Linked DNA regions of Canis lupus familiaris. The protein of the gene in region 2 binds, or shares a complex with, the protein of the main gene of each other region. Links are inferred from orthologs where the notes say so. Each region holds a gene or a part of one and is shown on either strand. Other genes may lie near its edges.

Region 1 (7,623 bases), on a different chromosome or scaffold from region 2:
AAAAGTAGGGACTGCAAAAAAAAAAAAAGTACTAGAAAGAAAGGGATTAAGATAAAAATCCTTTGGAATAATTTCAAAAGATTTCCTCTAGTAGTGGTTGAGATAACCCATGAAGGGTGAGTTTAATTTCTACTAGAGAAGACACAATGAAAAAAAAAAAAAAAAAAGAAGACACAATGAATGTGTGCTGCTTTGAAGTAATCATAGAAAAATTCTCATATAACAGTCTTTTTTTTTTAAATTTTTATTTATTTATGATAGTTACATCAGAGAGAGAGAGAGAGGCAGAGACGCAGGCAGAGGGAGAAGCAGGCTCCATGCACCGGGAGCCCGACGTGGGATTCGATCCCGGGTCTCCAGGATCGCGCCCTGGGCCAAAGGCAGGCGCCGAACCGCTGCGCCACCCAGGGATCCCATCATATAACAGTCTTAACTAGATATAACTTTAATACTCTTTTCTAATTTCATGAAGTATGTGTTGAGTAAAAATTTTAGTTCTAGATATTTTATACCTTCAATTATATCTAGGAGAGTTTTTGTTTCCTTAATAGGAAATCCCTAGGACTGTCCAGGGCGGGGCGGGGCGCGGCAGCGGTTTAGCCCCAGGTTGTGATCCTGGTACCCGGAATGAGTCCCACGTCCCAGGTCCGGCTCCCTGTGTAGAGCCTGCTTCTCCCTCTGCCTGTCTCTGCCTCTCTCTCTGTATGTGTGTCTCTCATGAATAAATACATAAAATTAAAAAAAAAAAAAAAGAAGGAAATCCCTAGCAGTTATTCTGGACTCTGCTTAGATCAGTCACAATTCTACTGGAGACAAGGTAAATCAGAATCGCTGGAGTGAGGGTTCAGATACTGGTATTTTGTAGAAGTTCTCTACATAATTTTAATTTTTTAAAAAATATTTTATTTTATTTTTAAGTCATCTCTACACCCAAGGTAGGGATGGAACTCAAACCCTTAGGTCAACAGCCCCATCCTCCACTGACTGAGCCAGCCAGGCGCTCCTCCAGATTATTTAATTTATTTATTTTTGTTTAAACAACAGACATTTATTTTTGTACAATTCTGGAGGCTAAGAGTCCGGGGCATAGATGCCTGCAAATCTGATTTCTGGTGAATCCTCCAGATAATTTTAAAGTGCAATCAGGATAGCAGACCACCAGGCTAAATTTCAGTTGAGCAACTTTGGTCTTACTAATAACTGATTTACTTTCCTTTGCTGCTTCAATAAATAATAAGAAATGTCCAATATCAGGGCACATGGGTGGCTCAGTGGTTCTCGTATAACAGTCTTAAATAGATATAACTTTAATACTCTTTTCTAATTTCATGAAGTATGTGTTGAGTAAAAATTTTAGTTCTAGATCATTTTAGTTCTGGAACTGCCTTTGGCTCAGGGCGTGATTATGGGGTCGAGTCCCCAATCAGGTTCCCCACGGGGAGCCTACTTCTCCCTCTATGTCTCTACCTCTCTCTCTGTGTCTCTCATGAATAAATAATAATAAAATATTTAAAAAAGAATTGTCCAATATAATTTTTTAAAAAATATTTTATTTATTTGAGAGAGAGAGAGAGAAGAGACAGCGGGCGCAGGAAGGGGCTGGGGAAGCAGGCTCCTTGCTGAGCAGGGAGGGAGCAAAGGGTGGCTGGATCCCAGGACCCTGGGATCATGCCTTGAGCCCAAGGCAGGCGCTCACCAGACTGAACCACCCAGGCGCCCCCCCCCCCAGTATATTTTTTTTTTTTAATTAGCTACCACTGGACTGAGTATTTACCATGTGCCAGGCACAGTGCCAAACATTCTTTTGTGCATTATCTCTTCTGATTTTCCTAACTAGGTGAATTTCCAGACTACTTGCCCAGTTAACTGCCCCATTCCCGGACCCAAGGACTTAGCCGCTGCACCACCCCGCTGCCCTCTTCCAATTCACTCCTGATATGGAACGGTCCGGAACACCAAAGTCTATCGGCAGCTATAAATAAACAGTATCTGCAAAGAGCAACCGAGAACACAGATGACACAGAAGAAGTATGGAGGATACCAGGAAGTGACACCGTAGAGTTGACCAGGCAATTCGAAATCTGCCATTCCCGGGTCCCCCAACACCTCGTCCAGCCTTTAGTCACCCCTACCCGCCCCCCCCCCCCCCCCCGGGAAGCTCACTGGTTCTTGGCGGCCAATTTTAGGGTGAGAATAACCTTTGAATACCTAGGATCAACAACAACAAAAACCCAAAAAGCAGTCGAGGTATTTCTCACATCCATCCGAAGCTCTGGTTTAGAGGGTTCAGTCATTACTGGAGATGGGGAAGAGCCTTCCAGAGCCTTCCAGAGCCTTCCAGAGCGGCCCGCCGGCTCCACGCAATGGGGGGGAAGCCGGCGCGGCGGAGGGGGGCGGGGCGCAGCTCGGTTCGCTTTCCCCGGAGCCCGCGGTGGGAGGCGAGGCTGGACCCGCACCCCGCCCGGTGCCCTCCTGCGCCGGGCGGGGCGGGGTGAGGACCCGCGAGGCCAGCGCGACTCGCGCCTTCAGGAGCGCGGCCCGGAGGCGAGTGTTGGCGACGCCGCTCCCGGAGGCGAGGCGCGACCGCGGCTGGAGCTGTCGGGGCAGAGGCGCTGGCCCGACCCTGGAGCCCAAAGCGCGATTCGACGGAGGGCTCGGAAGCCGGGCCCGGCTCCTGCTGGGGCGAGCGGGCGAGCGGGCGGGGTCCCGCCCCCCACTCTGGGCGCAGCCCGCGCGGGAGCTCGCGATTCGCGAGGGTCCCCAGGGCAGCCCGCGCTGGTTGCCACGGCAACGCCACGCTCCTGGCGGGGCCGGCGCGCGCCGCGGGGCCCCGTCCCTACCGGAAGTGACGCGCTTCACCTGCCGAGCGAGGGTGGGGCGGGGGGGACGGGGCGCGGAGGTGCCGCGGCCGCCAGCCAGTCGGGAGCGCGCGGGCCCCGGGTGGTGAGACCCCGGGCGAGGGCCGCCTCCTCCAGTCGCCGCCCACGGCCGCGCCGCCACCATGGCGCTCCTGCTGCGCTTCGTCCTCCTGTGCGGAGTCGCGGGTGAGCGGGGGGCAGTGCGCTTCGCGGGGCTCCCGTCGCCGGCACCGCCCCGGGGCGCTCGCTGCCCGCGGCCGCCCGGGAACAATGAGCGTGGGGGAGGGGCCGGGCGCGGTTTGGGGGCTGCGGCCGCGTGGCCGGGAGGCGGGGTCGCCCTGGGGAGGCTTTGCGGAGCCGGGCCCGCGGGCCGGGAAGGTGGGCGGGCGGGGAGGGAGCCGTGCGGGGCCGCGGGATGCCCGGGGGCGGCGGGGGGCTCCGGGGCGCGGGTGGGTGGGCGCGGCGTGCGGGGGCGCCTGGCGTCTTCGCTGCGGGGCGACCTTCGCTTTATTCGCTCCCGCCCGTTTCCTCGTTAGCCGCCGAGTCGTGTCGGTCCAGCGTTCCTGGGCTTCAGAAGCCGTGGGCTGCGAGTTTTCCAGGTGTCGAGCAGTGCGGGCGGGAGGCTGAATTTCCAGCGCCGAGATCGAGCCGGCCCTGAGCTCCCCCGTGCCTCGACCGTGCAGCTGTAGCTGCCTCTAGCGAGAGGCGCTGGACGGGCGGCGGCTGCAGCCTCCCCGACCTGGTTCCAGAGGCGAGCCCGAGCCCGAGCGCGAGCGCGAGCTGTTAGCCCAGAGGTTAGCTCGACCGAAGGGGAGGGCTGCAGATCCACGTAGGCTCTCGATTCTGCAGTCCCGGAGCAAAGTGCACGGAAGAAATTCAGAGCCTCGCTTTGAGTTTACGACGAGTTCATTCATTTTTGAAGATACGAGGGGATGGCTTGTACAGGGCAATCCCTAAAGGATTCGCCAAGTGCATTTTCTGACTGCGCTCTTCTCGGGAGGGGAATTTTAAAAAAAGGCATCTAAAAAATGCGTGGACATTTGAAGGCACAATCATTTGATGCTTTTTAAGAAACGGATCTGTTTTCGTGGCAGTGTTTTAACTGATCTTGTTTGTCAAGATGAGCACTTGTCGCTGTTGGAACCAAATGGTTAGTTAAAAAAAAAAAAAAAAAAACCCGTAAGTGTGACCGTCGCAGGCACACTTTTTATAGTCTCTGGAAGGATTTTTCTTTCTTTCTTTCTTTCTTTTTTTTTTTTTTTTTGATGTGTTGGAAAGGATCGAGTGGCCCTTTCTGTTGGGATAGCTCTCTGCTTCCTGTTGAAATGTTAATTCCATTGTTGGATGCCACATCTGTGAGCGTTACTCAGGGGATCAACATTCTATTAACAAGTCTAATCTTCCATCGATAGCACCACCTCCACCTTTTTAATACATATCATTTAGATTTGGGTGAAAATTTCAAAGTAAAGCTTCCGGAAAAGATGAAGGGTCAGTAACCAGTTTACGTGGTACATTCCCCTCGTTTGTTTTGTCGGGGACTAAATTTGAAGTGGAGAGTGCATGTTCTCCATGGAGAAAATACTTTAGGCTACATCCAGAGCAGAAAAATGGAATAACAAACCATGTAGAGGATCTCTCTTTTTTTCCCCTTCTGGGGATGTCCAGATAATTGGATTTCATTTTTTTCTGGACACCTCACTTTACTAGGTACAATCTCAACTGAGGACATGTTTAATATATACAGAGTCATTCTGCTTTTAAACTGTAAGCTTGGATAGTGAACTTCTCATTAAAGGACTGTTTTTAGCATAAGAAGACAACTATTTTTAGTTCCAGTTTTCCAGCTTAGGGAACAGCTCTAAAGCTATCTAACTGATGGGTGGCTTTGAGTATTTCTTCAGATACTCTTGCCATTTTAGACACTCATTGCTGTGAATTCAATTTGAGTGGTAACGTGATTGGCTTCTACATTTGGCAAAACAAAGCAGAGGAGGCTTTCATATTAAAAATCGCAGTGCCATTTTTCCTCTAGATCTGTTTCCATATGGGCTGTAAAGAGTTTTGTCATATGTTCTAGTTGCTAGTGGAAGGCCTTTGGATGCATTTTATTACCTACCCAGTAGGAAATCATACTACCAGTAATAATAGTGGCAATAGTAGTAAAATTAAAGTCTTGATTGAAAGTTATTAAATGCCAGCCACTGTTAAGGGCTTTATATATGTTCCATTTACCTAGCAACCCTGGAGGGTATGTATTATAATGATCCCTGTTGTACATGTGAGGAAACTGAGACACGGAGTAGTTCTTTAACTTAATTTGCTGAGGTCACAAATTTCCTTCTTAATCCTTACCCTTCCCACTATGCTGTTTTGCCTCTGAAGCAGTCACTTTCTTCTTTGGTTATCTCTGACATTCTAAATTTCTATCACTGCTTCTCTGTCACATAGTAAGAACCTGCTGTTGGTTTGACTGTGTGCCAAATACTGAAGACTTCTTTATTAGCCCTTTAATTTCTTGAACTTAGTTTAATGCTTTCAGACACTATTAGGAAAGCATGAGGAGCAAGAAAAAGCTTAGGCAGCTATTGTAAATTGATGTGGCCCATGTACCATCAGCATCACCTGGGGATCTTGTTTGAGACGCTGCTTCTCACGCTGGCATCATGAGTGAAACTAAAAAGTTCTTGTCTCCCCACCACATGTTAGCCATTTGACGACAGCTGTAGGCTTCTGTCCTTTGTGTGTGCCTCAGTTGCTTTATGTATCAAGAACAAGGATCCTATCATCTCAGAGCCATTAAGGAACAAAGTGAAATGTTTATCATCTTTCCTGGAGTCTTCCTTTGCATAAAAAATGGGAAGATTAAATATGAACTTTATCTCCTCTATATATCTCTTTGTTTACATTTTGGCCATTATACCAACCACCTAAAAAAAAATGTTGCCTCTTCTTCACAGCAACCCACTTTCATTGGCTCCTTACCCTATTTGTTGTGGGGTGTCCATCAGTTTACTCAGTTTATCTCATTGCACTAGGTCAGAGGGTAGGGGCATTCTTTGTGTTCTTGTTATAGTCCTGGTGTTAGTGTGTGGAATGTGGTAGATAGCAAATGTTCCATAAATGTTGTATGACTGAAAATTTGCAGCCTTTTTTTTTTTTTTTACCACGAGGCCCATGTATATGGTGTGGCTCTCATCAGTTCCATCTCTCTCTCTCTTCAAATAATGATGATCTTTGTAGTGGTCTTTCCAGTAGCCTTGTCTCAGTTGCTGGTCTAAAGAAGTTAAGCTTTTGCTTTATCTTTGATCTCATTGTTCTATTCCACTTCAGTTGTGAGAGGTAACTATAACAGTGTGCCAAATCCGTTTATCTTTTTTGGAGCTCCTTGATACCTATTTTGACTCTTTTCCACCCTGCTAACCTGCTCTTCATACTTCTACAGTAGGTCCCTTAAATATCAGCCTTCCCCATGATTTGGCCCACAGTCCCCTTCTTTCAATCTTAAACCGGGGTGACTTCATTTATCCATTACTATAACCTCTAAAAAGTTGCTAGTGACTTAAAAATAGTACCAGTTCAGCCTACCTCTCCTTTGAATTCTGGGTCCCTGTTTCCAGGTGCCTACCATTCACATTCCACCTGAATGATCTTTAGTACCTCAGACTCTACAAATGTCAGGCCAGGCTCACCCATTAATTAATTGATTACATGATTCAATCATTCAAATATTTATTGCCTACTATGTGCTTGTGTTAGGTGTCCTTACAGTAGTATAGAACTTTGCAAGGTGCAAAGCTTTGATAGGTCATTCCCAGCAGATGGTATAGCTTTTGCAAAGACATGGAGATCTGAAAGGGTATGATGTGTCTTGGGAGGTGAGAAATTCAGTTCATGAGAGCATCTAATCACCACTTCTCAAACTTTTGATGGAAATCTGAGTCATTCTCCTAAGAAAGTTGGGCGAGGCCTGAGATTTTTTTTTTTTTTTTAAGATTTATATTTATTTATTCATGAGAAAGGCAGAGACACAGGCAGAGGGAGAAGCAGGCTCCATGCAGGGATCCCAATGTGGGACTCGATCCCAGGACTCCAGGATCACACCCTGAGCTGGAAGACAGATGCTTAACCGCTGAGCCACCCAGGCATCCCAGATTTTTGGTTTTTAACAAGTTCCTGATGATTTCACTACTGACCACACTCTGGGTGAGTGAAGCTCTAAGGCTGTGCCAAGAGCTTAGGGGATGAAAGATAATGGACATGTGTCAAGTTATACCACCCTCTGTGGTGGCACTAAGAAGCTTGTGGAGACATTAAAGAAGTGAGATGAAACACTGAGATTATTCTCTGGAATGATGAACTCTGTAGCAGTTCTGGAGGCAGGTAGGTCTAACACAGGAAGCTATCTGGGATGATCTACACATAAGCAGTCCTTGAAAAACAGAGCGCTGTTGGGCTTTCCTCTCTGATCTGAAAAGTTCTTTTGAGGAAAATGTATTGAAGTCTGATAATTTGGTTGGTTCCAAGCAGAAGTTGGAGAGAAGCAGTAATATACCTGGTTTTGAATGAATGGTGAAGTCCCTAACTTGCAGAGGATGAAGAGGAACAAGTTTTAGGAGAAGTGACCAACGAGCTTAAGTTTAGACAGGTGGTATTTGAGGCACTTGAGGGGAATGGAGGTAAAAAAAAATATCTGGTAGGAAGATTTAAAGGACTAGATCTCAGGAAAGAAACAACGATTGGTGATAGAGATTTGAGAATCACT
Region 2 (7,548 bases):
GTGGCGTCCTTCACAGCCACACAGGCTGTGGACACATGTGTGTGCATGACTTATGATATCAAATACTTTCTCATCACACCTCACCGCCCACATATCCAGGGCCTGGTAAGTCCTGAGAGCACCCCCACTCAACCTTCCCCATGCCCCTTCTTCCTCGGTCCTTGCAAACTCATATGTTGCCTTTCTGTTCTATAGGAGGAGGTTGTGTTAAGTTATTACCCTAAACTCAGTGTACCTGTGGGGTACTCCCAGAACTGGGGCCGCTTCCAGAACCGTGTAGCCTTGGTGGGTGACACCTCCCGCAATGATGCGTCTATCATGCTCCAAGGAGTGAAGGAATCTGACAGAGGAAGATACACCTGCAGTATCCACCTGGGGAACTTGACCTTCAAGAAAACCACCACGCTGCATGTGATCGTGAAAGAGCCCCAAAGTATCTGATCTTCGGCTGGGGAGGCATGAGGGTCCTTGTAGTTGGTAGGCATGGCCAGGACTAGGGGAAGGCCAGAGAGGCATGTAGGGTGCCACGCTGAAGGAGGCATCACTCTCAGGTGCTGTACTTACACGACCCTGATACAAGTCCTTGTACCCTGGACTTACATGATGTTCACGGTGATACCTCCTTAACTTTAGAGTCCTAGGCACCTCGCTTTCCACACTATTTGGTGAACACCAACCTTCTGCCAGAACTCACTCACTGCCCGTGTAATATCCTGATCTAAAGATACAGGAGCTCAGAGATGGGTTGGAGCTAATGTCCAAAGTTCTTTTTTACTTGGATGCTGTATGCTCTGCGGCAGAAGGGTAAATGACCCTGGGCTGGTGAGAGATGGCACAGAAGAGAAAGAAAACAGGAAGAGACCAGAACTCAAAATAGAAATGTTCTCTGATGAAAGGTTCTCTATTCTGGCAAACCCTGTACATTAAAGCCAGTGGTGTGTAGGGGAATAAAGATCTGAGAGAAGTCGGTAAGTGAGGGGTTAAAGTTAAACCATAACACAGTTAACAGTCAGGATGTGGCTGTGGACTTTGCATTTTGCTACAGATCTTTGCTGGAGGTTGGCTGTGGTTTTTTTGGGGGTGGGGATGTGGGCAAGGATGGAACTCACCTCAGTATCTTTGACCAAGGACTTGAGTCTATGAAGGCCCCTTCTTGTAATACATGGCAAAGGAGGGAGCGGGACAGAGGGATTTCTTCCCTCTCAGAAGCCCTATTTCCATTTCACAGAGAAAATACACTCCATAGTGGGAGCCCACTCAACCACCAAGCACCCACCCCCCAGGCCTATCTACGTTGCCCACATCCTCACCTCTCTGTCTCACCATCCCAGGGGCTCTTCTGCCCTGAGCTTATCCAAACCTCTGTGCTCAGGTGGAACTTTCTCCCTGTCTCAGGCACGTCACACTGTCTACTGGCTCCTGCCACCCAGACTGTAGATATGCTCACCTCTTCCTCTCACCTTCTGTCCTGGGCTACTTTAGCTCTCATCCTGTGTGTCTTTCTTCTCTTTAAAACAGAAACAACTCATACTATACAGTCACCCACTTAAAGCCTACAACTCAGCGATTTTTAGTATATTCAGAGTTGTGCAACCTCCACCGCAATCAATTCTAAATCTTTTTTTTAAGATTTATTTATTTATTCATGATAGATGTAGAAAGAGAAAGAGAGAGGCACAGGCACAGGAGGAGAGAGAAGCAGGTTCCATGCCAGGAGCCCGACGTAGGACTCGATCCCAGGACTCCAGGATCACGCCCTGGGCCAAAGGCAGGGGCCAAACCGCTGAGCCACCCAGGGATCCCCTCAATTCTATATTTCTTTCTTGACCTACCTAAGTAGCTAAGAGGCCATCTGTGGTGTCTCTTGTCTCTCCTCCCTTAACCTCTTAGTGCACCACATCCTGGCTTCTGCTTCTGCCTCTGCTCTAGCTTAGGTCACCAATGCTACTCTAATTGCCCACCTCAGCCTTCTTTACCCAAGTAATATTGGACACAGTATTCTCCATATAATCAATATATTCTATGTTGGATCCTCCCCCCCTTCCCTCCCTCCCTCCCTCCCTCCCTCCCCCCTCCTTCCTTCCCTCCCTCCTGCTCTTCCTTCCTTCCTCCCTTCCTTCCTTCCTTCCTTCCTTCCTTCCTTCCTTCCTTCCTTCCTTCCTTCCTTCCTTCCTTCCTTCCTTCCTTCCTGTCTAATCTATGTCTCCATCTAAATCCTAGCTAAACATTCTGCAAAACTTCAAATGCAACATATCCAAACCTGCCCCTGCACACCTCTCCCCTAGCTCATCTCTGTCACCATCTACATGGTTACCTAGCTGGATGCCTGAGAGTTGTACTGATTCTTCCCTTTCCCGTGACCCCCAGACTAACAGGTCAACAAGTCCTGTTATTTCTACTACTGACTTTGAGTCTGCCTTCCCCCCAGTCCCTCACCACGCTCTAGCTGTCTTCCTTTGTGTATTGGCCTGTAGCCCTCTAACCAGGGTCTGCTCTCCTTCTCAGCCTCTGCTCTCATTCTTCCTGCAGCCCTCAGTGCCACCATTCTAAACCACAAGTCGCAACATTCTGTCCCGGTGCTTAGAGTCTTTCAGTGTTTGGTTTTTCCATCACTTACTGAAAGAAAGCCAGACTCCTGGCTGAGATCAAGACCCTTCATGATTGAGACTCTGTTGTTTAGTTCCCCACTATGCCCCCAACTGCAACCTAGAGCCAGACCCATGGAACTATTTTAGTTTCTGAAAGTCCCATCCTCTTGGGCCTCCAGACCTTGTGTGTAATGCACCACCCCCATCCTTTCCCATATTGTCTGCCCAACAAACTTTATGTTTCCTTAAGACTTTTAAATTTTAAAACTGTTGAGAACTTCTCATCTGCTCCCCGTAGAATTAGGTACCCTTTTCTCTGTGCCCCCTGTACCCCATATGGACTTCCATCCTGGTCCCTATAGCAGACTGTGATTTTCCATTGACATGTTCATCCCTCTCCTTGAAGGCAGGGACCATGCACTAACTGTCTTTGTAGCTTCTTTGCCTAGTGATATCTAGCACCCAGGAGGTGTTTATGTATATATGTAGAGTGAAAGGAAATGGATGTAGAGGAAATGGATGAAGGGTACCATATGGGTGGAAGCGCTTTACTTGGTATCATGACTATGGGGCTGAGGGTTGTACCACATATCCTTTTGAAACCAACCACTTTCTCATTGAAAGATCTGAAGCCTCTAAAAAATCTGTTTTGTTGTTTTAAGATAGAACTGTTAATGTAAAAGGAAACTCTGCTGTAGGTAAGGTGCTATTCTCTTCTCCCACCCACCTTAATCTACACTGTAGGGGTAAGCAAGGAGGCCAGACTTGGTTCTCCATCTAATGGGGACAAGTGGAATGCCAGTATTTCAATATGGGGTGGAGTCTGGCCTTCTCTCCCAACTTCCCGAGTTAGTATAGATCTGGTGGGATTTCCAGCTCTATACTGGAATATTGAGACTGTCTTGTTGCTTTTTTCCTTTCCTAAGCAATGGTGACCCCAGTAGCCCTCAGACCTGAGATCCTGGGTGGTAATCAGCTGGTGATCATTGTGGGGATTGTCTGTGTCACTATCCTGCTGCTTCCTGTTCTGATTTTGATCGTGAAGAGGACCCACAGAAGTAAGAGGTACAGGGCTGGGTTGGGAGGCTGGCGGTTCCTCAACCTGAAGTAGAAGAGTGATAGGGCCCTAACTGTGCCACTTTCCCGGAAGGGGATACTTTAAAATAGAATCATCTGTGGTTGTCAGATTAGATGTCATCTCTCTAGTGACCCCAACCCTCCACTCACTCTAGTGACCCCAACCCTCCACTCTGTGTTGCAGAGGGCCTTGTACATCCCTATACCCTCTTCATTCGTTTTGGTAGTTTACAAAGATTTTTCAGCTCTTTTGTAAATGGTGGTTTAAGAGGAACATAATTAAGTATAAATCTTATGCAAGAGCTATAATGGTGCCATTCAATGCCTGAGGGAAATGGGTTTTTGAATTATGTACAATACACATTTCATAAGGAAGATCAGATCTTGAGGGTTATCAGTGGCTTTATTTAAAGGACCACACTCTAGGACACCTGAGTGGCTTAGCTGGTTAAGTGTCTGACTCTTGATTTCGGCCCAGGTCATGACCTCAGGGTCATTGGATCAAACCCCATTTTGGGCTCTCTGCTCAGTGTTTGTCCCTTTCCCTCTGCTCCTCCCCAAGATCTCGCTCTTCCCTCTGCTAATAAATAAATAAATAAATTTTTAAAAGGACCACAGTCTAATTCTGAGTGGCTATTTCTGAACGGATGTCCTTAGGTCCTAAGTTATTTATTGTTGAAATGTGTTGTTGAAGGCTTTAATTTCAGTACCCCTTCTCCCAGCATCTTGGAAATGCCCAGATGCTCCATCCAATAAGGCAGCAGGTTTGGCTGTTGGCAGGGCCGCATGCATCCATTGATTCAACTGTTGATGATGAGATACGTTGCTGGGGCAGATTGGCTCTCTTGTTGAAATGTCAATGGGCAAAGGACCTCATTAGAGTGCTGACTCTGAGTCTCCCCATAAAACATAGACTCTCTAGAAAGTGCTTTGCCTGCTGGGCTTCACTTCGTTCCCCAGGGCCTCTCTGACTTGGTTTGAACTTGGCTGGCCTCTCTGAGGGTCTTTGCTCCGGGCATGCAGATGGCCCCCAGCCCAAGTTAGATGACCATATCAACTCACCTCCCCACTCTGGGCCTCAGTGTCCCTCAAAATGAAATCAGTACTTCCATGTCAGTACTAAAGACATGGAAATCCTAAAGATTTAGGAAATAAATAATCAGATTTGTATATTGAGATTTATAAACATGGTTGCTGTAGCCCTGATGATAATTCAACATTGAAGTCATCCTCAGTAACTGTCAGGAAGGTGATGATTCACTAAATCAGTATTCCACTCAGTGAAATACTACACAATCCCAAATGTAACGGCATGGGAAGATGTCCCAGGAATCACATTACAGAATATATAACAGGATCTCATTTTTATAAAAAAGAAAATTAGTAATACTCACTTTGGCAGCAGATGCAATAAATACATTTTGTGTGAGTGCAGTAAGGCCTGCATTGAGAAAGGTTGGAAAGAATAATTCCAAAGTATTAGTAGTGCTGTTTGGGTGAAAAGAGAAGGTGGATCCCACAAGGGCAGGAGGTTTTCTGGAACTTCAAACTTCAACTCTCTGTGTTTCTTTAGTATTTGAATTATTTTACAGTGAGAACATACAACTTTATAATCATAATGTATGAGAAAACTATTTCCTCCACTTTGAGACAAAAAAAAAAAAAAAATGACTTCTAGCTTCAACCCTGATTTTTTTTTTTTTAAGTTCTACCTTAGACCAAAATAGGAAAAAAAAGGAACTGTATTAAGTAGCAGATGCAGAGGGCAGATGGTCAAGAGATCAAAGGCCAAGGGCTGGGAAGGGGCCAGGGTTGGCAGCTTAGGGGGTTTGTGGCGCTATTTCTGCTCAGCCTCTTCCCCAGGGGAGGAGCCTTTGAACTGTGTGTCTCAGCTGAGCTTCTATTGCCCCCTGCTGGCATGGCTACATCTCCCTACTCCCGGGTTAATGATAAAAATCCAATCCCATGATGGCCCTCCCTATTAATTCACTTAAAACAGTGTGGATGCAGAAAAATGTTAAGTAGGTAATAGGGAAGTCAGAGCCGTTCAGCCCAGACTACCTCCGGAATGCTTCATTCTCTCCATCAGAGAAATGCACTGCTCAGATTTCACAGTGAGCTGGGTGGCTTTGGCGGTGGGAGTCTAGAGACAATGGTTTCCCCCTCTGGGGTCCCCCTCATCACAAGACTCTGTGGGGTCTCATGTGGGCACCCTGGAATTTACAGTGCCAGCCAGTTAATTCCACATGCTTTTCCTGCCTTGCAGCTCAGCGACATCCACAACCCTGGTAAAAAGCCTGGAGAACATAAAGAAGGCTGATCCAGAGGTAAGGCAAGAACTCAAAACTCCATTTTGCAGCTGTTTCTGCATGGGGGCAGGGTAGATATGGCTCCAACATCCAGGGTGTCATTGGCATTCTCTGTGGACTATCTTACTCAGTATTGTATCTCAGTGTGGTGGCCAGTGCTGGGCACAGCACAGGGGCTCAGGAAATCTTCATCACAGAGTGAGAGCCCCCCACCCCACCCCAGGAGGGAGCGGACAGGGCCCTGGGGACTCTGGGTAGGGTCACAGGAAAGAACCCTGGGCTCAGTGTCAGAGAATCCCCATTCAAGCCCACCTCAGCCACCTCCCAGAGCCACACTTGTCTCACCAGTAAAATGAGGATGAGGACAAGCATATTTGCCCTGTGGTAAGGTTCAAATAACTGGATGATCTGTAAGTGCTTCATCATCTGTGGGCACTGTGGAACCATAGGGGAGAATTGTGGTACATTCAGGAATTAAGTGAAGGAGTTAACAGTTCAGATCAAATATTCAGGGACTCTAGGTGGCTGGGTGGCTCAGTTGGTTAAGCATCTGCCTTAGGCTCAGGTCATGGTCTCAGGGTCCTGGGATTGAGTCTTGCATGGGGCTCCCTGCTCATCTTTATGCACTCTCTCTCAAATAAATAAAATCTTTAAAAAAATATTCGGGTACCTTAAGAAAGAGGATCAAGAAGAGCTTTTTCTTCCATATTACTTTGTAATGGGGCTATAAATAATTGCTATTAGGGTCTGAGAAATGAATTCATTTCCTTAAACTACCTTTCCTCCCTCCCTCCCTCCCTTCTTTTAAAAACTCCTCTTGGAATATTTACTTTTTCCACCTTTTGCCCTGTTTATGACCTAAGTGTAGGATTTTGTCACAACCTAGTGCAGGGGCCTCCAGAAGCCCAAGAGTTTGTCACTGGATGACATCACCTCCCCAAATAGTGACAGGAATGTGAATCACAAAGTACCACCCACCTCACAGATGTGAGGTTCAGTGAGGGCTGTCCCTGCCATATAAACCCTCTCAGAGATGACCACAGTTAGTGGCCGATCAATGCCATCCTGCCATGGCTCCAGTCAGAAGGAAATAAGCATGGAATACAAATAATCCAGCAAGATAAGAATCCCCTGCTGCTGCCTAAGTGCCTGTCCAAACAAAGAACTTTGTCTTTTGAAGCAAAGAATTTGGTTCTCAAGAGAGTAATCTTTGCTGACGAGCCAACTTTCTTAATTGCCAGGAAGACTGGGAACTAAATTATCATTATCCACGATAATTTTCTAACTCTCAATTACCTTTTGGTGTTGATGCCCTGTGAATAGTAGTAGATGGTTTTTTCCTCTGGCATCTAACATTTGCTGATCTTTGGTTAATGTTCCCACCACTCCTGTCCCTCTAGAAACACGTTTATTCTTCAGTAGCCACACCGATGCTGATTGAGGACGAAGAATCAAATGGAAAAGCAGAGGCCACCTACATGACCATGGTGAGAGTGCTTCTGGGCCCAGCCGAGCCAGGTGTCTGGAGGGTGGACAAGGAGCTGGCAAGGATGTGGCAAGCCCGTGCGTGGTGG

What was found. Proteins that work in one complex are often made in the same cells at the same time.
Region 1: the proteins of JAML (region 2) and CXADR are in contact, whole or in part, in a crystal structure (PDB 3MJ7), measured with the Mus musculus proteins. The link is inferred for Canis lupus familiaris from reciprocal best matches to the Homo sapiens genes JAML and CXADR. Residues at the interface, in NP_001005421.3 of Mus musculus: Arg57, Asp59, Ala69, Tyr72, Phe75, Tyr77, Leu80, Val82, Glu120, Arg122, Ser127, Met128, Val129, Met130, Lys131; in NP_001020363.1 of Mus musculus: Thr23, Gly51, Pro52, Asp54, Glu56, Leu58, Ser60, Gln65, Ile66, Val67, Asp68, Gln69, Val70, Leu73, Tyr83, Lys121, Lys123, Lys124, Ala125, Pro126, Gly127, Val128, Asn130.

Annotation. Positions count from the first base shown.
Region 1 is NC_049252.1:14,459,221-14,466,843, forward strand, and holds the start of CXADR (coxsackievirus and adenovirus receptor), read left to right. Parts: upstream 1-2,893; 5' UTR 2,894-3,001; coding exon 3,002-3,044; intron 3,045-7,623. UniProt on the Homo sapiens protein: Component of the epithelial apical junction complex that may function as a homophilic cell adhesion molecule and is essential for tight junction integrity.
Region 2 is NC_049226.1:15,528,993-15,536,540, forward strand, and holds part of JAML (junctional adhesion molecule-like), read left to right. Parts: intron 1-195; coding exon 196-433; intron 434-3,514; coding exon 3,515-3,653; intron 3,654-5,931; coding exon 5,932-5,992; intron 5,993-7,374; coding exon 7,375-7,461; intron 7,462-7,548. UniProt on the Homo sapiens protein: Transmembrane protein of the plasma membrane of leukocytes that control their migration and activation through interaction with CXADR, a plasma membrane receptor found on adjacent epithelial and endothelial cells.